Callithrix jacchus: one gene and its partners. The protein of the gene in region 1 interacts with the protein of each later gene in a pairwise test. Links are inferred from orthologs where the notes say so. Each region holds a gene or a part of one and is shown in the gene's direction. Other genes may lie near its edges. The genes, in order: TSC22D4, POLR1C, NRBP1, TEX11, ZMYND10 and MAD2L1.

The links.
Region 2: the proteins of TSC22D4 (region 1) and POLR1C interact in binary tests that used the Homo sapiens proteins (3 or more experiments, as listed by UniProt). The two-hybrid records come from large-scale screens. The link is inferred for Callithrix jacchus from reciprocal best matches to the Homo sapiens genes TSC22D4 and POLR1C.
Region 3: the proteins of TSC22D4 (region 1) and NRBP1 interact in binary tests that used the Homo sapiens proteins (3 or more experiments, as listed by UniProt). The link is inferred for Callithrix jacchus from reciprocal best matches to the Homo sapiens genes TSC22D4 and NRBP1.
Region 4: the proteins of TSC22D4 (region 1) and TEX11 interact in a two-hybrid assay, tested with the Homo sapiens proteins (2 studies listed by BioGRID and IntAct). The two-hybrid records come from large-scale screens. The link is inferred for Callithrix jacchus from reciprocal best matches to the Homo sapiens genes TSC22D4 and TEX11.
Region 5: the proteins of TSC22D4 (region 1) and ZMYND10 interact in binary tests that used the Homo sapiens proteins (3 or more experiments, as listed by UniProt). The two-hybrid records come from large-scale screens. The link is inferred for Callithrix jacchus from reciprocal best matches to the Homo sapiens genes TSC22D4 and ZMYND10.
Region 6: the proteins of TSC22D4 (region 1) and MAD2L1 interact in binary tests that used the Homo sapiens proteins (3 or more experiments, as listed by UniProt). The two-hybrid records come from large-scale screens. The link is inferred for Callithrix jacchus from reciprocal best matches to the Homo sapiens genes TSC22D4 and MAD2L1.

The regions. Positions count from the first base shown.
Region 1 is NC_133503.1:13,245,253-13,249,311, forward strand, and holds the start of TSC22D4 (TSC22 domain family protein 4), read left to right. Parts: upstream 1-1,259; 5' UTR 1,260-1,662; intron 1,663-2,113; 5' UTR 2,114-2,382; coding exon 2,383-3,144; intron 3,145-4,059.
Region 2 is NC_133505.1:51,998,509-52,002,741, forward strand, and holds the start of POLR1C (DNA-directed RNA polymerases I and III subunit RPAC1), read left to right. Parts: upstream 1-1,433; 5' UTR 1,434-1,456; coding exon 1,457-1,525; intron 1,526-1,652; coding exon 1,653-1,724; intron 1,725-3,664; coding exon 3,665-3,772; intron 3,773-4,047; coding exon 4,048-4,180; intron 4,181-4,233. Other genes in the region: protein YIPF3, read right to left, coding at 1-56, 228-437, 1,071-1,151. UniProt on the Homo sapiens protein: DNA-dependent RNA polymerase catalyzes the transcription of DNA into RNA using the four ribonucleoside triphosphates as substrates.
Region 3 is NC_133515.1:87,585,567-87,589,556, reverse strand, and holds the end of NRBP1 (nuclear receptor-binding protein), read left to right. Parts: intron 1-897; exon of another isoform or gene 898-1,025; intron 1,026-1,069; coding exon 1,070-1,202; intron 1,203-1,671; coding exon 1,672-1,777; intron 1,778-1,913; coding exon 1,914-1,964; intron 1,965-2,067; coding exon 2,068-2,203; intron 2,204-2,366; coding exon 2,367-2,420; intron 2,421-2,503; coding exon 2,504-2,567; intron 2,568-2,778; exon of another isoform or gene 2,779-2,799; coding exon 2,800-2,855; exon of another isoform or gene 2,856-2,940; coding exon 2,941-3,045; 3' UTR 3,046-3,490; downstream 3,491-3,990. Other genes in the region: KRTCAP3 (keratinocyte-associated protein 3), read left to right, coding at 3,623-3,671, 3,814-3,990. UniProt on the Homo sapiens protein: Required for embryonic development. Plays a role in intestinal epithelial cell fate and proliferation, thereby involved in the architectural development of the intestine potentially via the regulation of Wnt-responsive genes.
Region 4 is NC_133524.1:68,184,818-68,188,846, reverse strand, and holds the start of TEX11 (testis-expressed protein 11), read left to right. Parts: upstream 1-1,229; 5' UTR 1,230-1,284; intron 1,285-2,276; exon of another isoform or gene 2,277-2,295; intron 2,296-2,533; 5' UTR 2,534-2,554; coding exon 2,555-2,591; intron 2,592-4,029. UniProt on the Homo sapiens protein: Regulator of crossing-over during meiosis. Involved in initiation and/or maintenance of chromosome synapsis and formation of crossovers.
Region 5 is NC_133516.1:32,917,247-32,921,534, reverse strand, and holds the start of ZMYND10 (zinc finger MYND domain-containing protein 10), read left to right. Parts: upstream 1-1,488; 5' UTR 1,489-1,622; coding exon 1,623-1,714; intron 1,715-1,970; coding exon 1,971-2,079; intron 2,080-2,997; coding exon 2,998-3,114; intron 3,115-3,230; coding exon 3,231-3,284; intron 3,285-3,403; coding exon 3,404-3,541; intron 3,542-3,649; coding exon 3,650-3,738; intron 3,739-3,837; coding exon 3,838-3,938; intron 3,939-4,288. UniProt on the Homo sapiens protein: Plays a role in axonemal structure organization and motility. Involved in axonemal pre-assembly of inner and outer dynein arms (IDA and ODA, respectively) for proper axoneme building for cilia motility.
Region 6 is NC_133504.1:77,657,963-77,662,184, forward strand, and holds the start of MAD2L1 (mitotic spindle assembly checkpoint protein MAD2A), read left to right. Parts: upstream 1-1,422; 5' UTR 1,423-1,527; coding exon 1,528-1,600; intron 1,601-2,438; coding exon 2,439-2,585; intron 2,586-4,222. UniProt on the Homo sapiens protein: Component of the spindle-assembly checkpoint that prevents the onset of anaphase until all chromosomes are properly aligned at the metaphase plate.

The DNA.
Region 1 (4,059 bases):
GCTTTAATCACACCACTGTGCTCCATCCTGGGCAACAGAGAGAGAGAGAGAGAGACCCTGTCTCTAATAAAAAGGAGGAGGGTGGGGGAGAGGGGAATAATATAATGTCCAGGATTTGATTTCAAATAGTCTAGCAAAATACAGCTGGCTCCCGAACAATGTCATTTCACTGAATGAAATGTCATCTCACTCTGTTGCCCAGGCTGGAGTGCATCTTGGCTCATGGCAGGCCCGACCTCCTGGGGTCATGAGATCCTCCTGCCTCAGCCTCCTGAGTAGTTGGGACTATATGTGTACATCACCACATTCAGTTAATTTTTTAAAAAATTTTTTGTAGAGATGGAGATCTGGCTATATTGTTCAGGCTGGTCTCAAACTCCTCGGCTCAAGAAATCCTCCTCCCTCAGCATTTGAGTAGCTGGAATTACCAGTGCACCTCCCCATGCCCAGCTAATTTTAAAAATTTTTTGTACAGACAGGGATCTCGCTACATTGCCCAGGCTGGTCTCGAACTCCTGGCCTCAAGCGAGCCTTCCACCTCAGCCTTTGAGTAGCTGGAATTATAGGTGCACCTCACCATGCCCAACTAATTCTTTTATTTTTTGTAGGGGCCGGGTCTTGCTATATTGTCCAAACAGGTCTCAAGCTATCCTCCTTCCTCGGCCTCCCAAACAAAGTGCAGGGATTGACAGGTGTGAGCCACAGTATTCGGCAATAATCCACTTTTAAAAATAAGGAATGAGGGGAATAATAGTACCTTCCTCATTTAGTTGCTGTGGAAAGGAAAGGAGAATGACGGTAATAGCCACAGCCGCCCCACAGCAGGAACTAGGCACTTCTGGGGGGGCACCCAGTACACCTCCAGGCCTGTGCCGTCCCTCTCTTTGGTGAGTCTCTAGGAGAGGGGCAACAATTGACTACAAGTAAGGGAATCCCTCGCCTCCCTGCAAGCTCCTCCCCTTTCTCCCCGAGCCCCGCCCTCTGCAGCCCCTCCCTGCAAGAGTGGTGCTGGGGCCCGGCAGGTGTGGGGTTAAGGGAGTCTGTTTGCGGCCCCCAGGAGCAGCAGCCTGAGCAGCGGCCGCAACAACTGCAACAGCAGCGGCTGTGGCAGGCCTGGCCCCTGGCCAGCTGGCGGGGAGCCCCAGGAGGGAGGGAGGGAGGAGGAAGGGGAGGAAGAGGGGAAGGAGGAGGAGGAGGAGAGGAGCAGTCAGCAGGCCCGAGGAGGCAGGACTTCCTGGTGTGGGGGTTGTCAACAGCTCAGAAAGAGAAAGACGGAGAGGCAGACCCAGGGGAGCCGAGGAGCGGAGACAAGGACCCAGCGGGGCCACGCGGGAGGAGACTCGGGACACCAACTCGCCGGCTGCCACCGGGAGCAGCGGGGGACTCCGCCGCCCCCTCCCACATCGTCTCCAGACCCTTGGTGCTTCAGAGGCCGCGCTTGGGCTCCTCGGAGGAGGCTCGGGTTCCTTCTTTTCGGAGAGCAAACTTTACACGGAGATGCCTCGCAGAATGAGCTGCGGCCCCCGAAGAGGACGGGGCAGCCTGTGATCGCCGCCTGCGAGTCCCGCCACTGCCCGGGGCCAGGAGGCCCCAGGGAACCGACAGCCCTACCTCTTAGGCGCCGGGACCCCCAGGCTCAGATCAGTGGCCGAGGCCCCAGAGGTAGGGCTTGTGGCTGGGCGGGGCGCAGAGGGGTAGCCTGGCAGGGCTTGACCCAAAGATGTGGGAGCTGGGGTGAGGGTGGGGGCTGGAGGCCTAGGAGAGGTCTCTCTCTGGGTGGCCGGGCCAGGCTGGGGAGCTGCTTCACCCCGGTTCTCCCAGGCCCTGGAGTCCGAGCTCCTGGGACAATGCAGGATCCCTGAGTCGGAATCCCAAGCGAGAAATGTTCAACTCTGGGACCCGTCTGCCTCTTCCTACCCTGAACGCCTTCTGGGATCCGGTCCCCTCTGCCCTGGTCTCTTGTCATCTCTTGCCTGCCTCTGGTTCTCTGACGGTTTCCTCTTCCCCCACTTTGCTCCCCGGAGAGGAAGCCCCGGAGGTGGCCTGCCCACTGGTTTCACACACACACACAGACACACACATAAACTCTCTCTCTCTCTCTGTCTTTTTCCAGTTTGCAAACTCAGCTCTGGAGTTCAGCAGCGACAGCAGCAGGAAAAACCTGCCCTTGCTCCCCCCTCCTGCCACCTCCACTCTCCTCCTCTCCCCTCACCCAGCAGGCACCCCCGGTTCCCGCCAGGCCCTCCTGCCATGTCGGACCCAGACGTCCCCAGGGGCCCGGATGCCCCCACCATGTGGCCCCCTTGTTCCAGGGGTGCCTGAGCCCCTTCAAGGAGCCCCAGCCTACCCCCAACCTTGGCCCAGCCCTGAGCCCCAGGGACCATGAGCGGGGGCAAGAAGAAGAGTAGTTTCCAAATCACCAGCGTGACCACGGACTACGAGGGCCCGGGGAGCCCAGCGGCTTCGGACCCCCCTGGCCCACTGCCCCCCACCGGGCCCCCACCCCGCCTGCCAAATGGGGAGCACAGCCCTGATCCGGGGGGCAAGGGCACCCCCCGTAATGGCTCTCCCCCACCTGGGGCCCCCTCCTCCCGTTTCCGGGTGGTGAAGCTGCCCCACGGCCTGGGAGAGCCTTATCGCCGAGGTCGCTGGACTTGTGTGGATGTTTATGAGCGAGACCTGGAGCCCCACAGCTTTGGCCGCCTCCTGGAGGGAATTCGAGGGACATCAGCGGGCGCTGGGGGCAGATCTTTGGATTCCAGGTTGGAGCTGGCCAGCCTCGGCCTGGGCACCCCCACCCCACAGTCAGGCCTGTCTCAGGGCCCCACCTCCTGGCTCCGTCCACCGCCGACCTCTCCCGGACCTCAGGCCCGCTCCTTCACTGGGGGGCTGGGCCAGCTGGTGGTGCCCGGAAAAGCCAAGGCAGAGACACCCCCACTGTCGGCTTCCCCGCCTCAGCAGCGCCCCCCAGAGCCTGGGACTGGGGAGAGCGGGGGCACATCTCGGGCTGCCACACCCCTGCCCTCCCTGAGGGTGGAAGCAGAGGCTGGGGGCTCCGGGTCCAGGACCCCTCCACTGTCCCGGAGGAAGGCTGTAGACATGCGGCTGCGGATGGAGTTGGGTGCTCCAGAGGAGATGGGGCAGGTAAGACCTGGGTTCTAGGGCTCGCCCATCTCAGCCCTGGCCTGACCTTCATGTTGGGCCTCCCTACCTCTGCCTCCCTCCCCCTCCTCCCCCCTCCTATCCCTTCTCCTCCTCCTCCTCCACCTCCTCCTCTTCCATCACCTGTCTATCAGATCAGACAGCCCCTTCTCTGTGCCTGCCAAGTCACTCTCAAGCCCCTTCCTTGGTTTTCTGCCTCAGCCTCCTTCCTGTTTTTTGCACCCTTTCTCTTTCTCTCTGGCCTCTGATTCTGTCTTGGTTTTCACGTGGCCTGGCATATGTGGCCTCCTCACCTGGCCTTCTTCTGTCTTGGTCTCAGCTCCTCTGGCTCTAGGTGATGAGGGTGGAGGCCCCAGCTGGGTAGCTGGGTCCCTGGGGTAGGAGCTGCCAGGATTTGGGGAGGAATGGTAAAAGGTAGGCCTTGTATGCTGCCAGTCTCTTTCCACTGCAGCCCCATCCTGAATGTGGGGTCTTTCTTTTCCCCCAGCCACCCATCGCAGTCCCACTTCTAGCTTTGCTGCAAGCCAAGTGTCATGGAGAAATTGGGTGGGGGGAACACCTCCCTGGGATGGGGAAGGGGCTTGCTGGTTGATCCTTTTCACTCCCCAGTTGTCTGGCTCAACTCCCTCCAGGCAAGAAGAACTTGAGGAGGAATGCAGTCCCCGTACTGTTTCTCCTTCCTGTCTCCAAAAGAGGAACAAGTCTGGGCTGGGGGTGGGGGGCAGGATGCCTGGGTCCCCAGGGTGGGGGCGAGAAGCCAGAGACATGGGGATTGAATACTTCTGTCCTGCGGGAGAAAATAACACCTCGGAGGGCTGGGGAAAGGCAGGGAGTGTGAGGATGCGAACTCTTTCCCCTTCCTGGCCTTGGGCACAAACCACAGTATAAAAATAACCT
Region 2 (4,233 bases), on another chromosome or scaffold:
ATGTTGGCATACAAGCTGAAGGCCCTGGAGGCTTGTCTCTTCCCAGCCTGCCACATCTGAAGGAAGATGGGCATAGGTATTGTGGAACTCTTGGCATTAGACCCTGTTGCCTATTTTCCATTTGATTTCTACCAGGACAACCTGGGGCGACACACCAATACCAACTCCAGGACATGGGACACACCTAGGTTTACTTTTCCACCTGCAGGGGATTCCATCTTGCTTACCTGATCAGCCACCTGCCGGCTCAGCTGTCCCTTAAAGCCCTTCATGCCCAGGAACTCTCCATCCTCTTCTTCAGCAGCAGCCGCATCAGCGTCTGCATCAGCGTCTACTTCTTCCTCGCGCAGGCGCTGATGCAGTTCACCCATATCCTCGAAGCTAGAGCCTGAGGTATCATCCATGTTCTCCATGTCAATCACAGCTGAGCCTCCGCCCTGTTAAGACAATGGCTCCTAGAGTGCAGGACTTTTCTGTTCCATCCATTAAGTCCTCTGCTCATCCCAGGGCTTAGGGCTTTGTTCTTCCACTGCTGAGGATACGGCTTGGAATCACTACAGATCATGCCACTCCATTCCCCCTCATTTGCTCTCAGAACGCTTGATTTATAGCTTTGGCTATCTTTTCTAGCCTGGGAAACCAACTAGTCTTCCATTCATGTCTTTCTCCTACCTTACCTATCAAAGACTAAAAGCTTGAAAAAGAATCCATTTCTGTCTTTCCAAAGCCCCAAACAAAACTATGAACACAGTATGTTTTCGGCGAGTGCCAGTGAATCCCACCCAACCCCACTCCAGGCCTGACCCCAACCAACCTCCTAACTTGTTCCAAGAATACGTTCTTCCTAACGCCTCGGGCGGGCCCAGAGACCCGAGATCCTCAGGCTGGAGTAGTAGACTAGTCTGGCCCTTTCAGGTCAATGTTAACTCCACTGACTTTTGTGTGCAAGACCCAAAGAAGGCAGTTTTGCAAATGGAGTGAACTTCCAGGCCCCGAGGGAGAATCCCCAAGACACTTCTGGACATCGCCGGCCCTCGGGTTGCTGGCATCTGGTGCCTTGGGGCCATTACCTGGATGTTTTCTTCGAACCCTCCCCATTCCGGGCCAGCTCCGTTTCGGGCGCCGCCCGTCGGCGCCGCTGTAGTTGCCATGCCCTTTGAGGGCTCCCGTCGCTGAAGCCCGCGATAGCCCCGCGCGCAGGGAAGTGTGCGAGATGTGAGTCCCAAGAAGGGAGAGGTCCCAGGTCGCGGAGAGGTGGGATCAGCCGGAACACAAAAAGGAGAAACCCGGATGTTTGGACAAAACCAACTTCCGGAAATTGGGGACGTGGATGAAGGTGGAGCAAAGTCTCGCGATATTTAAGATTCCAGGAGGCGGTGCGTTGCCACGGAGATGGAGCAGTGCTGCTAGAACGCACGCGCCAGCTAGAGCCTGTAGTCTTTTGGAGAGATTGAACATGGCGGCTACTCAGGCCGTGGAAGAAATGCGGAGCCGCGTGGTTCTAGGAGAGTTTGGGGTTCGCAATGTAAGACTTGTGTCCTTGAGCTCAGGCGGGAGGAATGAGAGCGGAACAGGGATGGGTCTTGGGATTGGCGTGGGGATAGCCGTAGGCTCACTGTCCATTTGTGGACAAACTCATCCCTTTGCTCTAGGTCCATACCACTGACTTTCCCGGTAACTATTCCGGTTATGATGATGCCTGGGACCAGGAACGCTTCGAGAAGGTCAGTGGGGCCAGAGTTGTCCGGGGATTGTTAGGAGGGCCAGACCCTGTGGTCTCAGCAGCATGTGTCTGTCTCAGTAGCTGCTCTTGGGGGTCGCTCCGTTTGTAAGTTTTGTTGAGCAATGTGGTAGACCTCCGTTTACAGGCCAAGTTAGACACAGTTTCTACCCAGTTCTGCAAACAAGATGTTCAGTCTTGTTGAGGAATGGTGCGTATAAACAAGTGAATCTAGTTTAATATGGTAAAGGTGGTTGATAGCTGTGAAGATGGCAGGATTCGTGTGGGGAACATTATGCTGAGACCAGGAAGAGGGGCCCAGAGGTACTTAACATTTCTTGAGGAGGGAAGATCTGAATTGAGCTTTGAACGGTAAGTAAAGAACAGGAGTTAAATTAGGAAGGCTTTGAGTTTCAGGTCAGTGAAGTTGAGGATATACAGGTTTTGTGTGTATTTAGTCTATTATTGTTTCACTTAGCTTAAAATAAGGATTAAAATTGCATTTAAATAGATCACTGAATGTTACTGTTTATGCAACTGAACTGTGTGTGCAGTTTATAAAACATGATCTATAAATCTGTGCTTGGGAAAATTTTACTTTTTTTAACCTGTTGATACAGGAATAAAGTATGAACAATGAAAAAGGCTAATGCTTGAAAAAAAGTTATGGTGTGAATTGTGCTCCGGGAATGTCCAAGCAGTTCTGGCACTAGTGGTAGGCAAGATTGAAGTGTGTCTTGGGCACTGTTGATGATAGGGAGCTTGAATAGTTAAGCAGACATGATTAGATTTGCAACCCTGATAGCTGGGAGGGAATGAGTTTGAAGAGGATCGTATGGAGCAGGCAGATCTGTTGTAAGGGAAGCTGAGGTTGAAGGTATGAACTAAGACTGACGGTAGAAAGAGAGCAAAGGAAGAAAGAAGGTAAATTTGTGATTGCTTTGGTAAAGGCTGTTGGGGTAGCATAAAATGACTTTTTGACTTGGGAACTGCTTTGATGCATTGTGGTATCATTTACTGAGAGAAGAAATGGGTCTGGGGAAGAGGAATGATGATACGTCGTTTCCTGCATTTGGAGAAATCTAGCAGGCTAGAAGACTGCATATTTGAAATGAGATCAGAAGGGAGGTAAAATTTTGGGAGGTGTCAGCACAGATAGTTGCTAAAACCGTTGTTAGTGTGGTTAAGGTCACCTGGGAGAGAGACCAGAACCTGGTAGATTTAGAGATGGGTGGACGTTGTTGATCATCAGAGAAGGAAGAATGGAGCTCAGAAGCCAGGAGAATAGTTCAAAAAAGGAGGGGATTTTTTTTTTTTTTTTTTGAGATGGAGTCTCTGTTGCTCAGGCTGGAGTGCAGTGGCAGGATATCAGCTCACTGCAACCTCTGCCTCTTGGATTCAGGCAGCTCTCCTGTCTCAGCCTCCTGAGTAGCTGGTATTACAGGTGCACACCACCATGGCCGGCTAGTTTTTTGTATTTCTAGTAAAGATGAGGTTTCACCATGCCAGTCTCGAACTCCTGACCTCGTGATCCAACCACCTTGGCCTTCCAAAATGCTGGGATTACAGGCATGAGCCATTGCGCCTTTCCAGGAGGGGATTTTTTTAATCAATGCCAGGCGTAACAGACGTCTAGTAAAAGGACTGTCTAGTGTCAGCATGACTAAGCAGTGAGGTGGGTTTCTGTTCTTAGGACAATAGCTTCTGTGGATGGTTTGGTTGGGAGCCATATTGGATAGGGTTTTAATGAATGGAAGACAAAAAATGGACACTTTTCATGAACCTAAAGCAAGCACTGGACGAGAAAGAACATTTAATAAGGGACGTCTGGGCAAAGGGTGGTTTTTGGATGAGTGGATAATACTTGGAATCATCTGAGGGGGAGGTATGAAGAGCTATTACAAAGAGAGCAGGCTTCACTTAATCTTTTTCCTGTCCCTCTAGAATTTCCGTGTGGATGTGGTACACATGGATGAAAACTCACTGGAGTTTGACATGGTGGGAATTGATGCATCCATTGCCAATGCTTTTCGACGAATTCTGTTAGCTGAGGTATTGGCAGGCATGGTGACAAGGTTGGATTTGCTTTGGGAACTGCACTGACACTTGGAGTGTCACTTGGAGAATTAAGTGTCTCAAGCTGTCCTTCCCTTCTTATTTTTCCTGGAGTTTTGCTGGCTAAGGATTTTACCTTCTCATTCTTTGTAAACTTCTCATTAAACATTCTAGGAAGAGAGATAGCTCCCTACCTCTGGAGGTTGGAGTTTGTGGGGATAGGTAGGGGGTCTATTGGGTTTTTGCTGATAAGTGATTTTTTCCTTGGGCAGGTGCCAACTATGGCTGTGGAGAAGGTCCTGGTGTACAACAACACATCTATTGTTCAGGATGAGATCCTTGCTCACCGTCTGGGGCTCATTCCCATTCATGCTGACCCCCGTCTTTTTGAGTATCGGAACCAAGGTGAGAAAATGAAATTTTGGGAGAAGTGGACTGTCTGGGTTTAAATCCTGGTT
Region 3 (3,990 bases), on another chromosome or scaffold:
ATGAGCTAAGATTTGAAAGACATAAGGTTATGAATCAGCAGATAAGAGTATAGTAAGTAAAGCCTGACAGGAAAGTCCAAACAAGAACAGTTTGTAACTCATTAGATAAGTATAATAGGGAACAGAGGAGAAAAGAAGGAAGACTGGTGGGAAGTCAGGAGGATAGTATGGAATAAGTTTCTAGTTCAACATTGAGGTGGAGTATTCAAGTGAAAGATTAGGTATGTAACCTTGTTAGCCTTCAAGGTTGAAAGCAGGTTAATTGTCATGGGATGTACAGAAGGCAGAAAAGGAGGCAGAGGTGAGGCACAGTGGCTCATACTTGTAATCTCAGAACTTTGGGAGGCTGAGCTGGGAGGATCACTTGAGCTCAGGAGTTTGAGACTAGCCCAGATAACATGACAAAACATTTCTATGAAAAAACAAAAACATAAAAATAATCTGGGTGTGGTGGCACATGCCTATGGTCCCAGCTACTCTGGAAGTTGAAGGGAGGGTTGCTTGAGCCCAGGAGGTTGAGGCAGCAGTGAGCTGTGATTGTGCCATTATACTCCAGCCTGGGTGACACAGCAAGACCCTGTCTCAGAAAAAAGAAAGAAAATAAAGCAGAATGGTTACAGGAATCCTGGGAAATTCAGTGAATTCAGTGATTGTGGACAAAGGAAATGGTGAATATTGATCACAGTGGGTAAGTGTGGGAAGAGATAAGCTAAAAATGTGGCAAGATTTAGAAAAGAAGATAGGCAATGAGTTGGCTAATAAAGCAGAGAGGTAAAAGAAATAAGGAAAAAAGAAGGAAAAAGAAAATGTAAACATTAAATAAAAAAAGAAAGTTTGTGGTTGGAGAGCAGATAAATGACTAAAACCAGAAAGGCAGTGGATGTATCTTTCATATACCTTACAGTTTTTGAAGCCCATTCAGGTGCGTTTGTCAATATATTGTATTCTCAGTAAGTGCCAAGCCCCTGCTATGTACAAAGCCTTGTGCTAAGTAGAATGAGAGCTATAAAGATGAATACATTGCGGGGCTTGCCAGATGCCTACTCCAGTTCCTTATTTTCTTTTCTAGGAGTTCATTCAAAAGTGCCTGCAGTCTGAGCCTGCTCGCAGACCAACAGCCAGAGAACTTCTGTTCCACCCAGCATTGTTTGAAGTGCCCTCACTCAAACTCCTTGCTGCCCATTGCATTGTGGGACACCAACGTGAGTCCTACTGGCCCTACAGGGAATATTCTTCCAATCTGGAGCCCTGTAACTATCACTGGCATGCTTGCTTTCCTCTTCTATTTCCAAAGGGATTCTTTTTTTTTTTGAGAAAGAGTCTCACTCTGTCTCCCAGGCTGGAGTGTGCAATGGTGCGCTCTTGGCTCACTGCAACCTCCGCCTCCTGGGTTCAAGCAATTCTTGTGCCTCATCCTCCCGAATAACTGGAATTACAGGCATGTGCCACCATGCCTGGCTAAGTTTTGTATTTTTAGTAGAGATGGGGCTTTGCCATGTTGGCCAGGCTGGTCTTGAACTCCTGGCATCAAATGATCTGTCTGCCTCAGCTTCCCAAAGTGCTAGGATTACAGGCATGAGCTACCATGCCCTGCCTCCAAAGGGATTCTTTACCCCTTTACATTTAATATGACTATTCCTCCATAACATCCCACTCCATCATGCCCTCCAGACATGATCCCAGAGAATGCTCTGGAGGAGATCACCAAAAACATGGATACCAGTGCTGTACTGGCTGAAATCCCTGCAGGACCAGGAAGAGAACCAGTTCAGACTTTGTGAGTAACTGAGATGGTCTGAAAAGGGCAGATTGGTGACTACCACTCTTGAGGTTCTGTTCATTCTCTGGGAATGGTTGAATTTGCTTTTTTGCTTGTTTCCTTCTTTCCATCTCCTTTCTCTTTTCTCCTCCAGGTACTCTCAGTCACCAGCTCTGGAATTAGATAAATTCCTTGAAGATGTAAGGTGAGAGCAGAGTGAGAAGACAGGCTTTCTTGAGGAAGCAGGCAGTGTTGGGTATCCTAAGACATTCACAGAGCTCATGTGATCTGTTTTCATCTCTCTCCAGGAATGGTATCTATCCTCTGACAGCCTTTGGGCTACCTCGGCCCCAGCAGCCACAGCAGGAGGAGGTGACATCACCTGTCGTGCCCCCCTCTGTCAAGACTCCAACACCTGAACCAGCTGAGGTGGAGACTCGCAAGGTGGGAGCTGTGGTGGAAGGGAGAGAGGACATCACAAATAAGGCTCTATCCTTTAGAGAAAATGCTCCCTAGCAGCCATGTGCTATGGGCTGGAAAGGCGTCTAGGTATTGGGTTTTTTATGGACAGGTCTCTAGAGTGACCCTCTCTGTCCTCCTTCCCTAGGTGGTGCTGATGCAGTGCAACATTGAATCGGTGGAGGAGGGAGTCAAACACCATGTAAGGCTCAGGGCTAGGGTTACGCAGGGCTGATGGCTAGAGGGTAGGGAGGAGTCTCATTTTCTGACTGTCCTATTCTCCAGCTGACGCTTCTGCTGAAGCTGGAGGACAAACTGAACCGGCACCTGAGCTGTGACCTGATGCCAAGTGAGTCTCTCCTTTCCCTCAGAGGATGGAGAGTCTGTGAGCCTTATCTTTGAGGGACATATTCAGGAGTGGGGAAGGCGACAAGGCAGTAACACATTGACTCACAAAGAATGGCTATCTTAGCCCCTACAACAGTGGGTGGATCTGACAGTTTAGCCCTAGTGGTGCTGTGTGAAGGGCCCCAGGTCCCTCAGTCCTGTACTGTACTCACCCCCTCCTGTTTCTCTGTTAGATGAGAACATCCCCGAGTTGGCAGCTGAGCTGGTGCAGCTGGGCTTCATTAGTGAGGTGAGATTTCTGCCTTCATCTGACCTGGCTGCCCCAGTGCCTTCTCTTCTCTCAGCCCCTGTCTCACTGAGCTCTTCTCCCCCAGGCTGACCAGAGCCGGCTGACTTCTCTGCTAGAGGAGACCCTGAACAAGTTCAATTTTGCCAGGAACAACACCCTCAACTCAGCCGCTGTCACCGTCTCCTCTTAGAGCTCACTCGGGCCAGGCCCTGATCTGCGCTGTGGCTGTCCCTGGACATGCTGCAGCCCTCCTGTCCCTTCCCCTCAGTCAGTATTACCCTGTGAAGCCCCTTCCCTCCTTTATTATTCAGGAGGGCTGGGGGGGCTCCCTGGTTCTGAGCATCATCCTACCCCTCCCTTCTCTTCCTCCCCTCTGCACTTTGTTTACTTGTTTTGCACAGACATGGGCCTGGGCCTTCTCAGCAGCCGCCTTCTAGTTGGGGGCTAGTCGCTGATCTGCCGGCTCCCGCCCAGCCTGTGTGGGAAGGAGGCCCATGGGCACTGAGGGAGCCGAATTCTACAATCCCGCTGGGGCGGCCAGGCGGGAGAGAAAGGTGGTGCTGCAGTGGTGGCCCTGGGGGGCCATTCGATTCGCCTCAGTTGCTGCTGTAATAAAAGTCTACTTTTTGCTAAAAGCGTCGTGTGTTCGAGCCTTGCCAGCCAGGGGGAGCGGGGCCGGGGCAGAGGCGGGGCCCAGGTGGGAGGGGAGCCCGAGACGGAAGCGGGGCCAAGGTTGGGGCGTGGCTGAGTCCATGTAGAGCTGCCCTATGGCCGGTGAGGCTGATGGGATGAGGCGCTGCCGTCTCTGCACTTTCGGTAACTTCCGGCTCCTGGCGTCTCTTGTCCTTCCCCTGGGGCCACTCTCGGCCTGTCGTCCTTGTTGTCGTCGTTAATCTGCCTCGAGCCACCTTTCCCTTACCCGCCCGGCTCAACCCTGCCCCTCCCCCATGCTTTGCAGACGCCGTCCGGGGCCCCCGGCGGCTGATGCGCGTGGGCCTCGCGCTGATCCTGGTGGGCCACGTGAACCTGCTGCTGGGGGCCGTGCTGCACGGCACTGTCCTGCGGCACGTGGCTAATCCCCTTGGCGCCGTCACGCCGGAGTACACCGCGGCCAATGTCATCTCTGTCGGCTCGG
Region 4 (4,029 bases), on another chromosome or scaffold:
TGTTATCTACAAATCTGGAGGCATCATGTTTTCACACTGTTGCCTCTGAGTGGAGATTAGCATCATGCTTAGATTTAGCTGGAATCAAATTTTTATTTACATATTCCACCCCTCAAGCCATTTGGTTTGGAAATGCATGGGACAGGCAAGCTTGCTGTGAGAGGTATTAGGTAGTTTCCTAAGGTAGTTTCCTAATGATTGGACAAAGGCAGGGCAGCAGAAACATGTCTTGGAACTACAAGATTTTTTAATTTTTAATTTTTCTATTTATTTATTTGTTTATTTATTTTTGAGCCGGAGTTTCACTCTTGTTGCCTAGGCTGGAGTGTAATGGCGTGATCTTGGCTCACCACAACCTCCGCCTCCCCGGTTCAAGCAATTCTCCTGCCTCAGCCTCCCGATTAGCTGGGATTACAGGCATACGCCACCACACCCGGCTAATTCTGTATCTTTAGGAGAGACGGGGTTTCTCCATGTTGGTCAGGCTGGTCTCGAACTCCCGACCTTAGTTGATCTGCCCACCTCAGCCTCCCAAAGTGCTGGGATTACAGGCGTGAGCCACTGCTCCGGGCTTATTTTTTATTTTTAAGAGACATGGTCTCGCTGTCGCCCAGGCTGGAGTGCAGTGGCGGGATCATGGCTCATTGGACCTAAACTCTCAGGCTCAAGTGATCTTTCCACCACAGCCTCCCAAGTAGCTGGGACTACAAGCGCATGCCATCACACTCGGCTTTTTTTTTTTCTTTTTCTTTCTTTCTTTCTTTTTTTTTTTTTTTTGGTGTAGGTGCAGACTGGCTTGTTGCTCAGACTGGCCTCAACTAGTCTCCTCAGCTTCTAATATGTCTGTTATTTCTGGCCTTTGCCACTCTTTCATACCCAGTGGTCAACAATGTCTACTTGCTTTATTTCTTTTCCTGTTCTTTTTGTGTGTGTGTGTGAAGTCTTGCTGTTTTTTCTGTAATCCTGGCCATTTGCACTTTTCCTCAATTCATTGTAGTATGCTTTCAGTATTACATCACACTTGCTTAATCTCAGTGAGTCTCACCCTGAAATCGCCCAGCAACTGACTCTCTGAACCGCATCCCCAGGATGTAAGGTTTAGACTGGGTCCCAAAGCCTAGGCGCCTTGACACAGGGTTAAGGCCAAGTGGGAGTGGCTTTAGTGGTCTAGCGTGACGTCACTAACGTCGCTAGGGGGCGGTGCTTTCCGAGCGTCCTCGTCCTCGTGCGCTGTGGAAGGAGGCTGTGGAGAGCACAGCCGCGGCGTTGGTGGCTGCAGCTGAGGTGAGTGATTTTTTGGGCAGGAAGGGCTAGATTAGGGTTCAAACAGAGGTTAGTTGGGTAGTTTATAACTAGCAAGAATATAGCCATCAGGCCAACACTTTTTAGAGTGGCCCTGAGGCAGTGACTTTATGCTACCGAACTGCTGGTGGCTCTCAAGGTGAACAAAAGAGGGGCAAAAGTAATGTTTTTTGACGAGGATGGAGGCATATGGGGAGGAGTGGTGGGCCATTGAAAATCGGAAATAGGAGTCATTGTTGTTTAGATGCTGAAAGACCTAAATCATGTCGAAGCGGGACTGTTGATGACCGTTGGGGGCAACGAACGTAATGTTTTTTTGACGAGGATGGAGGCATATGGGGAGCGGTGGTGGGCCACTGAAAACCGGAGATAGCAGTCATTGTGGTTTAGATGCCAAAGGACCTAAATTGTGTCAAAGCGGGACTCTTGACCGTTGGGGGCAATGTAATGTTTTTTGACGAGAATGGAGGCGTATGGGGAGCGGTGGTGGGCCACTGAAAACTGGAGATGGTAGTCATTGTAGTTGAGATGTTGAAGGACCTAAATCATATCTAAGTGGGGCTGTTGATGACCGTTGGGGACGGGATGCTGAAGGTGCTAGCTTTCTCAGAGAGCGGGAAAAAGGACCGGGAGTGCTGGCTTTCTCAGAGAGCGGGAAAAAGGACCGGGAGGGCTGGCTTTCTCAGAGAGCGGGAAAAAGGACCGGGAGGGCTGGCTTTCTCAGAGAGCGGGAAAAAGGACCGGGAGGGCTGGATTTCTCAGAGAGCGGGGAAAAAGGACCGGGAGGGCTGGCTTTCTCAGAGAGCGGGGAAAAAGGACCGGGAGGGCTGGCTTTCTCAGAGAGTGGGGAAAAAGGACCGGGAGGGCTGGCTTTCTCAGAGAGCGGGAAAAAGGACTGGGAGTGATTGGATGCTTTGAATTGCAGTTGGTAGCGGAAGTGGATTTTGAACCAATGAGAAGGAAGCAGCGAGAACCAGCCAGACCAATCACAGGGTACCACTCAGCTCCGCTTCCCCCATTGCCAGGCAGACTTACATTAAGAAAAGGTCCCTTTTATGTAACTTGGTAGCCTGGCCCTGACCCTCACAAACCCTTTCATGGGCTTTTAGCTTTACTCAGCCTTTTTTTCTCTTGTTGGATAACAAGTAACGGGAGACATTTCACTGGATAGTAATTTGTTGAGAAACTAGGGGATAAAACAGAGTATTAAAAATATTTTATTATTTCATAGGCTTCAGCCAGAGATTTAAAAATGGACAATGACGATTTTCTTTCCATGGACTTTAAAGGTACGTAGCTTTATGTGGTAGTAAAAAATAATGTCAAACTGCTGCTTATTTAAGATCTAAATATTTCGCTTCTTAGTTTTGTCTCTTTGCAGTGTCTGCAGCTCCAGGCTTTCTTATTTATGTGCTAGAAACAACGTCAATTTTATTTTTTGAGATGGAGTTTCGCTGTTGTTACCCAGGCTGGAGTGCAATGGCACGATCTCGGCTCACCACAACTTCCGCCTCCTGGGTTCAAGCAATTCTCCTTCTTCAGCCTCCCGAGTAGCTGGGACTACAGGCGTGCACCACCATGCCCAGCTAATTTTTGTATTTTTAGTAGAGACGGGGTTTCACCTTGTTGACCAGGATGGTCTCGATCTCTTGACCTCGTGATCCACCTGCCTCGGCCTCCCAAAGTGCTGGGATTATAGGCGTGAGCCACGGCGCCCCGCCAACAATGTCGATTTTTAACACATTGGGAACCTTTTATGAACTAGTGTAGGGAGACAGAATTCATAATTCATAACTTGTTTTTTTTCAGGATTTTTATGGCATGCAAAATAAAACATTTAATCTGAAAGATACATCTATTGCAATAAAAATAAATTTAAAAAATTACTGCAAAATCTTGGAGTGTCCTACTATAATCATTCGTGAAAAATAAATTATATCCTGTGTAGTTTTAGATTTAAGTGCATTTTATGGCATCTTAATTCGTTTGAAAATTGGTAATACATGTTTGGTTTTATGGGAACTCTTAATAAACAAAAGCAATTTGACTGACCAACACACCAAATTCCTCAACCATGCCAGATATAGGAGAGTTTATGGTACTTTCTTTGCTTTTGGGGAATAATGAGACCTGTGGTACCTTCACATTCATATAGTAATGAAATATGTGGTAAGAAATGTGGCTACAAATCTATGATTTAAAAAAGTTTAGGTCAGTATTTTGTTAATACTTTTTTTTTTTGAGACAAAGAGTTTTGTTCTTGTTGCCCAGGCTGGAGTGCAGTGGTGTCATCTTGACTCACTGCAACCTCTGCCTCCTGGGTTCAAGGGATTCTCCTGCCTCAGCCTCCAAAGTAGCTGGGACTACAGGCTCGCACAGCCACACCCGGCTAATTTTTTTGTATTCAGTAGAGACAGGGTTTCACCATGTTGGTCGGGCTTGTCTTGAACTCCTGACCTCATGTGATGCACCTGCCTCGGCCTCCCAAAGTGCTGGTATTACAAGTGTGAACCACCGTGCCCAGCCAATACTTGTTATTTTAAAACAACAACAATAAAGCCCACTACTGTGTACTCTAAGTTTTAAATTCAGACATAATACCTTAAAGGTATAAAGATGGAATAGGGATTATGACTTTTAAATAGCTAATATTTGAGACTGTATTTACATAAATATTTGAATCACACAGAAGAGTATAGGAAATAATACAATGAACCTACCACTGAA
Region 5 (4,288 bases), on another chromosome or scaffold:
GATCCCATCACTGCACCCCAGCCTGGGTGACAAAGCAAGACCCTGTCTCAAATAAAAATAATAAATAAACCTAGAAAGAAACAGATGTAGCATGGCCCAGTGGCTCATGCCTATAATCCCAGCACTTTGGGAGGCTGAGGTGGGCAGATCACCTAACATCAGAAGTTCAAGACCAGCCTGGCCAACATGGTGAAACCCCATCTCCACTAAAAAAATACAAAAAAAATCAGCCAGATTACTGCACACCTGTAATCCCAGCTACTCAGGAAGCTGAGGTGGAAGAATCACTTGAACCCAGGAGGCAGAGGTTGCAGTGAGTCAAGATCATGCACTCTACCCTAGGTGACAGAGGAGATGCCACCGCAAAAAAAAAAGAAAAAAGATGTGATCAAGAATGAATTGGGTTGGAAGCAGGGACTGCTCTGGATTAAATGGCCAAGAAAGGCCATCCAACGTGTAAACTGAGCCCTGAAGGAAGAGTATTCCAGGCACAGTGCAAAACCCCTGAGGCAAAAACCTCTTTGGAATGTATGAGGGAGATCCAGGGAAGCAAGGGGGAGAAGCGAGTATCCAAGTCCCAAGGTATGAGAGAGGGCAAGAAGTAGATCTTGCAGAAGTGCTAGTAAGCTGTGACAGACCTAGCATTTGGTGCTCCGAAGTAGCTGCAGAGCCTCTCTCATGCCAGAGAGTAATTGTACACGTTTTTTCTTTCTTTCTTTTTTTTTTTTTTGAAACAGTGTCGTTTTGTCCTCCAGGCTGAAGTACAGTGGTGCAATCTCGCCTCACTGCAACCTCTGCCTCCTGGGCTCAAGCAGTTCTCCTACCTCAGCCTCCCGAGTAGCTGGGGCTATAGGTGTGTGCCACCACACCTGGGTAATTTTTGTATTTTTAATAGAGACAGAGTTTCACCATTTTGCCCAGGCTGGTCTCGAACTCCTGACCTCAAGTGATCCGCCTGCCTCAGCCTCCCAAAGTGCTGGGATTACAGGTGTGAGCCACCGCGCCTGGCCTGACATACACTTTTTAAAAAGAGGCTCCCGGCTGTTCATGAGGACCAAGCGTGGAAATAAGTCTAGAGAAAAGGCTGCCACAGTTATCCCATGACAGGTGACGACATTCTGGATGGAGAGAAGTCGTGCGCCCTGGCAGTAAGTATTTCAGGAGCCAACTAGTGGAGCCGGGACGCCATAAGGAGGAGGAGGAGGAGCAGCGAGTGGGTCAACATGCCACAGCCGCAGGAAGAGCTGGTGGGGTCGGGGTTACCCCATCCCTGTGCAGGCCGACTTGGCGTCCCAGGAGAGAGTCCAGGCCACAAGAATCGGGAGAGACTCGTGGGTCACAGCCCGAAAAGCTCTGGGAATCCAGGTACTGTAGCGATTGGCAGCGGCCTAGGTGAGGCCGGCGGTAGACCCGCCCGGATTTAGGCGAGAGCTACCTCCAGGGGCGGGCCCAGGCCGCAATGCGCAGGCGCGGCGAACCCGTTTCCATGACTGCGAGAACCCACGCTCCCCAACCGTCCCGTAACTGTCCGATCCCAGACTTTGGCACCGTCGGGCATCGTCCCCGTGTGTTAGTAACCCCACCCGACTGCTGCCCAGGGTCTGTCGGACCCCGGCCTCGACATGGGAGACCTGGAGCTGCTGCTGCCCGGGGAAGCTGACGTGCTGGTGCGGGGTCTGCGCAGCTTCCCGCTACGCGAGATGGGCTCCGAAGGGTGAGGCACCTGGGTCAGGCGGAGTCATGGGGTCATTGTCCTTGAGTGGGGGAGCTGGGGCCTGATACGGGTGGAGGGGCTGCCCAGTGTGGAGGGGCCTCCAAATGGGGAAGCAGAGCGTTCTGAGACAGGAGTATTATTGCTCCTGAGCCCCCTGTGGCCCCTTAGGATCAGGTTAGGTTTCAGTAGGATCCAGCCCCCATCCTCACTCCTAATGCACACACGTGCACCCACATGCACTTACCCTCGGGGGCAGGTGGAACCAGCAGCACGAGAACCTGGAGAAGCTGAACATGCAAGCCATACTCGATGCCACAGTCAGCCAGGGCGAGCCCATTCAGGAGCTGCTGGTCACCCATGGGAAGGTACCCTGAGGTCACAGGCAGGATTCCTGCCTTCCTCCATACCCACTCTACCCCTCAGGAATGCCCTGTGTGTTTTGCCCTCTGGCCTGGTATACCTGTCCTCCCTGAAGGTGAAAGAGGAATGTGTTACATTATGTATCCCTATGGACAGGACTCTGGCACACCAGGCCAGGTGCAGGGCATGAGTTGAATAAAGAGAAAGTTGCAGGTCCTAGAACAGCTTAGGATTCGAGGGGAAGGCCCAAATCCTAAAGGCATCTGTGAATTGACTGTAAGGCTGCGGGGGAGGGGAGATAACTTAATTGGAAGTGGATCTTTGGCAGGGAAGGAAGCAGCCTTCCTAACATGAGAGAGCAGAGTTAGAAACCAGGGAGATGCCTGGCTGGAACATGGACCAGGGAGTATCACCAGCAGATGACCTGAAATATCAATTCACACACACACAAAAAAAAGAGTTCCTTTGTAAGAGAAAGGTGGAGCTCGTTACTAGGGGATAGGGTAGGAACAGGGCACTGTGAAGGGTCCTGAGTAAGAGTGAGGCCAAGGCACACAAGAGCCTTGGAGGACCAGAGGACAAGGACAAGAGGGAGGGCATGAGCAGAAGGGCTGGCTTGAATGCCTGAATGGAGGGAGAGAGGATAAGGGTACAGGTGCAGGCAGGGCAAGGCAGTCTGGGGACTGGGCAGGAGCCAGTCACAAGCATGGGGGACATCCACAGAGGTGTTGGGAGCAGCTGGAAATGAAGGTCCAAGTTGCAAAAGAGAAGTCAGGAAGGATACTCATGGGGTCTAGGAGAGTCTAGGGGCCCAGCAGTGTTTGAGGAGATCTGGGCTGAGCTGAGCCAGGGATGGGAGGGTTGCCAGGCTAGGCCCATCTTACTCCTGTCCTTTCCCCCTGTCCTTTCCCCCCACTTCAAAGATCCCAACGCTGGTGGAGGAGCTGATTGCAGTGGAGATGTGGAAGCAGAAGGTGTTCCCCGTGCTCTGCAGGGTGGAGGACTTCAAGCCTCAGAACACCTTCCCCATCTACATGGTGGTGAGCTGGCCCCTAGTTCATACTTCCTCCCACTCTTTCAGAGGGCTCTGGACCCGGGAGGAAAGCTGGTGGCCCCTATCCCTCCCTCAGGCCCTGTTCTTCTTTTTGTCTAACAGGTACACCACGAGGCCTCCATCATCAACCTCTTGGAGACAGTGTTCTTCCACAAGGTGAGAGACTATCTCTGCCCATGGGCCACTGTTCCAGGTCAGGGCCTGGCAGGAAAGAAGGTTGCATCTGTGTGAGGAGGGCATCAGACACAGAAAGTTTCCCTCCCCGCTTCACCCAGGAGGTGTGTGAGTCAGCAGAAGACACTGTCTTGGACTTGGTAGACTATTGCCACCGCAAACTGACTCTGCTGGTGGCCCAGAGTGGCTGTGGTGGCCCCCCTGAGAAGGAGGGGTCCCAGGACAACAACCCCATGCAGGTGGGTTGAGGTTCCCTAGGGTTGAGAAGGCCTAGGTCTGGGTTCCCCAAGGCCTGCGCAAGTGAGAGTGGCCCAGTGGCCCAGCATAAACACTGTGTGGCCTCCCAGGAGCTACAGAAGCAGGCAGAGTTGATGGAATTTGAGATTGCTCTGAAGGCCCTCTCAGTACTGCGCTACATCACAGACTGCGTGGACAGGTGGGCAGCCTGACTGGGCCTGGGCCTACCGTGGAAGGCTGGAAGACTGGGCCTGTAGCCTGCCTCTGCTCACCTCCTTCCCAACATTCCTGCCCCTAGCCTCTCCCTCAGTACCTTGAGCCGCATGCTCAGCACACACAACCTGCCCTGCCTCCTGGTGGAACTGCTGGAGCATAGTCCCTGGAGCCGGCGGGAAGGAGGTAGGGTCCTCCCCCACCAGCCTAAGCCCCAGGCTACTGCTTCAGGATATCTTTTTGGTAAAGGGGGATAGCTTGCATATATGAAAACAAACCCTGTCCCCAAGCCCACTGAGGATACCAGGATGCCTCAGCCAAGCTTGTCCTAGACCTGAGCTCTGCAGCAGGCCAGGCCCATGTGTCCACTACCGAGGCTCATCCTGCTCTGGGGTGAGCAGCACTATATAGCCTGCCCAAGTCCTGTGGCCCAGGCTCTCCCACCATTCCCAGGCAATGGTCAGTCTCCCAGGCCCCATGGCTGGCTCACTTGAAGAGAATGCAACGCCTGCACCCAGTGTGCTGGTTCCTCTCCC
Region 6 (4,222 bases), on another chromosome or scaffold:
GTGCGTGCCTGTAATCCCAGCTACTCAGGAGACTGAGGCAGGAAAATTGCCTGAACCCAGGAGGCAGAGGTTACGGTGGGCCGAGATCACGCCATTGCACTCCAGCTTGGGTGACAAGAGCAAAACTCCGTCTCAAAAAATAAATAAAAATAAAAATTAAAAATTAAATTAAAATTAAAAGGGTTGGAATCTCCCTGAAGTCAGGGGGATGGGAGGTGTGAGAAGGTCTATGGAAGGGCCAGCTGGCAAAAAAACAGCTTGCCTCTGGCCAACGGCTAGCAAGACAAAAGGGATCCTAGTCCAACAACCACTTTCTGTCAGAGGGTTTAGAAGGACCTCAAACCTCAGATGAAACCCCCACTTGAAGACCCTTTGATTTCAACCTTGTGCGACTGAGCAAAACAGTCAACTATGCCACGTCCAGACTTCTACCTACAGGACTGAGAAAACAAATAGGTGGTGTTTTGAAGCCACTGATTTGTGGTAATTAGTTATGCAGCAATAGAAAACTAACAACATTCAAGTATTTCTCATATAATAACAGCATGTCTGGCAGATATAAAAGTTTTTCAGGCGTCATTCTACAAATATCTTCCTAGCTGCTTTAAGAATTCTTTTAAAATTGACATGAACATTAATTGTGCAATATCTCCTTAATAATTCTCACCCTTTTCAATGAAAAGTCATAGAGTGTGGTGAGTCAAGATACACTGAGTATTCTTCAATGCTGATGAGCCTCTTTGGGGAGGTGACCTTATTCCTATCCTGCCGCCTAAGGGTGGGCAGGGTGGACAGAACGCAACCTGGACTTCCGGACGCAGTCCCCCTACCGCCCCAGACTCGCCTACTCCTCTGGCCTCTGAGGGGTGCCTTAAGCCTAGGACAGACGTGGAAAATGGGCAGAAAAGAGGATGCAGTTCCCCTCTTTAATCCCTAACTCAATTTCTCGGGAAAAGCCGCGTTCCCACACAGAAGGCAGACCCTCCAAAGCTGCAGCCTGGCTACCGCGCACGCGGTAGCTTCACGAATTCCCAAAGCATCTAGCGGAAGTTTAGACCGTTCACTAGGGGTCACGTGTGCCACTTCGGATGCAGCTGGCAAACACTTCATTTCAGTTTGAAAGTAACTTTGAAACTCGGAAACGGTACTCCATGGTCTTTCAGTTCATAAGCGTAGACACCGGCTACTGAAATTGGAATCGTCATCTTCTTGCCTCGGCCGCAACTAGTAGACTAGGATCAGAAGACATCTAATCACAACCTACCGGAGCTTCACACAGGCACAGCAGATCAAGTCCACAAACTGCGCCTGCGCGAACCGGCTGTTCCGGCGAGATCGCAGGAAGACGGAGAGAAAGGGCAGGATCCCGCCGCGTAGGGCGGGGTTAAAGGCCTGTCGCGCCTGCGCAAAAGACCCGACGACGGGCTGCGTCGTTACTTTTGAAACGCTTGGCGGGGAATTGTTAAGGAGCCGCTGCGGTCGCTGTCAGCGGAGTGGAAGCGCGTGCATTTGCTTGTGTCCGTGGCCATGGCGCTGCAGCTCTCCCGGGAGCAGGGAATCACTCTGCGCGGGAGTGCCGAAATCGTGGCCGAGTTCTTCTGTAAGTTCTTGCGCAGGCCTTAGTGGGGGTGAACTGAGTCCTGGCGGCTCAGGAGGCCCGCGGCTCGGCCTCCAAGACCGGGGAAGGAATCTGGGGCGAGGCGGCTGCAGTCGCTTCCTCCTGACGCGTTGCTAACGTGGAGCGGCGGGCCTGCGTGCTGCTGGGGCCTGCCTCACATCGTAGCCTCTTCCGGAGCGTTTGTGCAGAAACACCCCACCTCCCACCGCTTACTTCACGAAACAGGACAGAGTGTGACTGGGGTGGGCCCCAGTGTCCTGTGTAGGGGGAAGGGAGGGTTGTTCTGTTTCTTTAACTGCGGCCGCACCCTGACCCTCCCACTCTTAAGTGATCGTGAGGCGTGAGGCTGGTGGTAAACAAGATTTTGGGAACGCCTGTTCTCGACCAGGCCCGCTGCACGTTCTAAAGGAATCTGGCAGGATTTGAGAGGGAAAGGGGAAGATGCAGGCTTGCCTGGAGCACAGTGACTATTAAGTCAGTTGCTAACTCGAATGCAACAGCCTATTTTGATATCCTCTAGCCTCATAATATTAATTTGGACTTGGTTTACAATGAGGTGAAATTTGGCAATGGTAGGTTGATACACTTTGTTTTTTTTTTCTTATTGCCGCACGAAAGCAAATACCTTTCTTTCTTAGAAGCAAGACTTTTAAGGATTTTTAATGCCGCTTTGTACCTACTCTGAGTAAGATACAAACACGTGTGTTCTGTCATTTACAGCTTTATTGCGTAATGAAAATAGAGCCACATCTAAATATATTTTATTTTCCAAAGTTATGTAGTGATAAGGAATTTTCTGTGACATTTCTTTTGTTTGCAGCATTTGGCATCAACAGCATTTTATATCAGCGTGGCATATATCCATCTGAAACCTTTACTCGCGTGCAGAAATATGGACTCACCTTGCTTGTAACTACTGATCTTGAGCTCATAAAATACCTAAATAATGTGGTGGAACAACTAAAAGGTATTTAATCATTGGAAACAATTTGAGTCTTGTAGACTAGGCTTCACATTTTCAGGCATCTCAAGTAGTAATTTTTTCCACTCTGCACATAGAAGTGTAGAACATCGGAAATAGTGATTTTCAGTTGGGAGGAAGCAAATAATATGTAAAATGGAAGAAATCCACTCTTCCCCTCACTGCATTGTGAGTGGACTGAATATTTTGATGTTAGAAATCTGATACGGCTAAAAAAAAAGTCTTCATCAACTCCTTTAGAAATGGCTTTTGCAGTTAATGTTGCTAAATGGAACAAGTTGGAATGTTACATAATTATATTGGTGTTCACTAGCTGAGAAAATATACACTACATAGTCTCAATATGATTTATTAATTTTCTGTAGTCTCCTGTTATAATTAGATTAAGATCAAGAAACATAAAATTGGATTCAACCAGAGAACTAAATTTCAAAAAAGTAAAGATTACCTGCTACATAACAGAACACCAACAGTTTTTTTTTGTTTTGTTTTTCACCTCTTTCTCTTTGTCATTTACAAAAATTCTGCCTGTGATGCAGTAAGCCTTTTCTGTCTGAACACTCATTATTTTTCTTTAACTTGGGAAACTGCTGTATTACCTCTTGGATGAATACTTGTTCATCTGTTTCTTTTTCCTTTCTAGAATTCCTGTTAGTTTCTCTTTTGTGTTTCCCGCCACTTAGGATGCTCATTTCCAATTTTTCAAATGTTTCTCTTATTTTATCTTCTAAAATATTAGTTTCAAAGAGTATTACAGTGGCCATCATTTTTTTTTTTTAATTTAGAAATCATTTCTTTTGTTGACCAGAATTTTTTGTTTCAAATGTGGCTTCTTTATCGTTTTCATGGCATTTTTACTAACCCATTTTTAATATGCTCTTCTGATGATGGCCATGTGAACTTTTTTAGCTTGATAACTCTCTTTGAAGCTGTACTATCCTCTAGGTAAATTGTTACCATTGACTTGCCATTTATATGTACAGGAGTGGAATTCCTCAACAGCCTGTGCATGTCAGGTCTCAAATTGACAGGCAAGGGAAGATAGCCCTAATGATATTTTGGCCTGGATATTTCTTTGATGTGGGTGCTTTTTTGTGTGTTGTAATGTTTACCAACATTCGTGACCTCTACTCATGAAATACCAGTAACAAACCCCCTTGCTCTGACAACCAGAAATGTCTCTATATGTTATATTGCCAGATATGCCCTAGGGGACAAAATTGCCCTTGGTTGAGAACTTCTGCTGTAGTGGATTGGTATTGTCTAAACAGCAAGATGAGAACTCTTTTGGTGTGAGAATAGACCTCTGTTCTCAGTGTACACAGGAAAGACATTGATAGGAACAGTCCTCCTCTCCCAGAGTTGCATCCAAAATTGGGAGTCAGGAATAAATCATCTATAGTGAATCATAGGGCTGCACGGTTTTTTTTCTTTTTTTTGAGAGAGAGAACAAAAGGCTGTACTTTTTTTCGCTCACATCATTCAGCTTGGAACCTCTAGGCAACTGTGGATCTGTGCCTTCATCTTAATATGCTAGAGAAGCAGATATTGCCTAAGCCAGTGGTTTTTAGGTTGTCTCCTATGAGACTGGATTGATGACATTTCACCTTATGTGTGTCTAG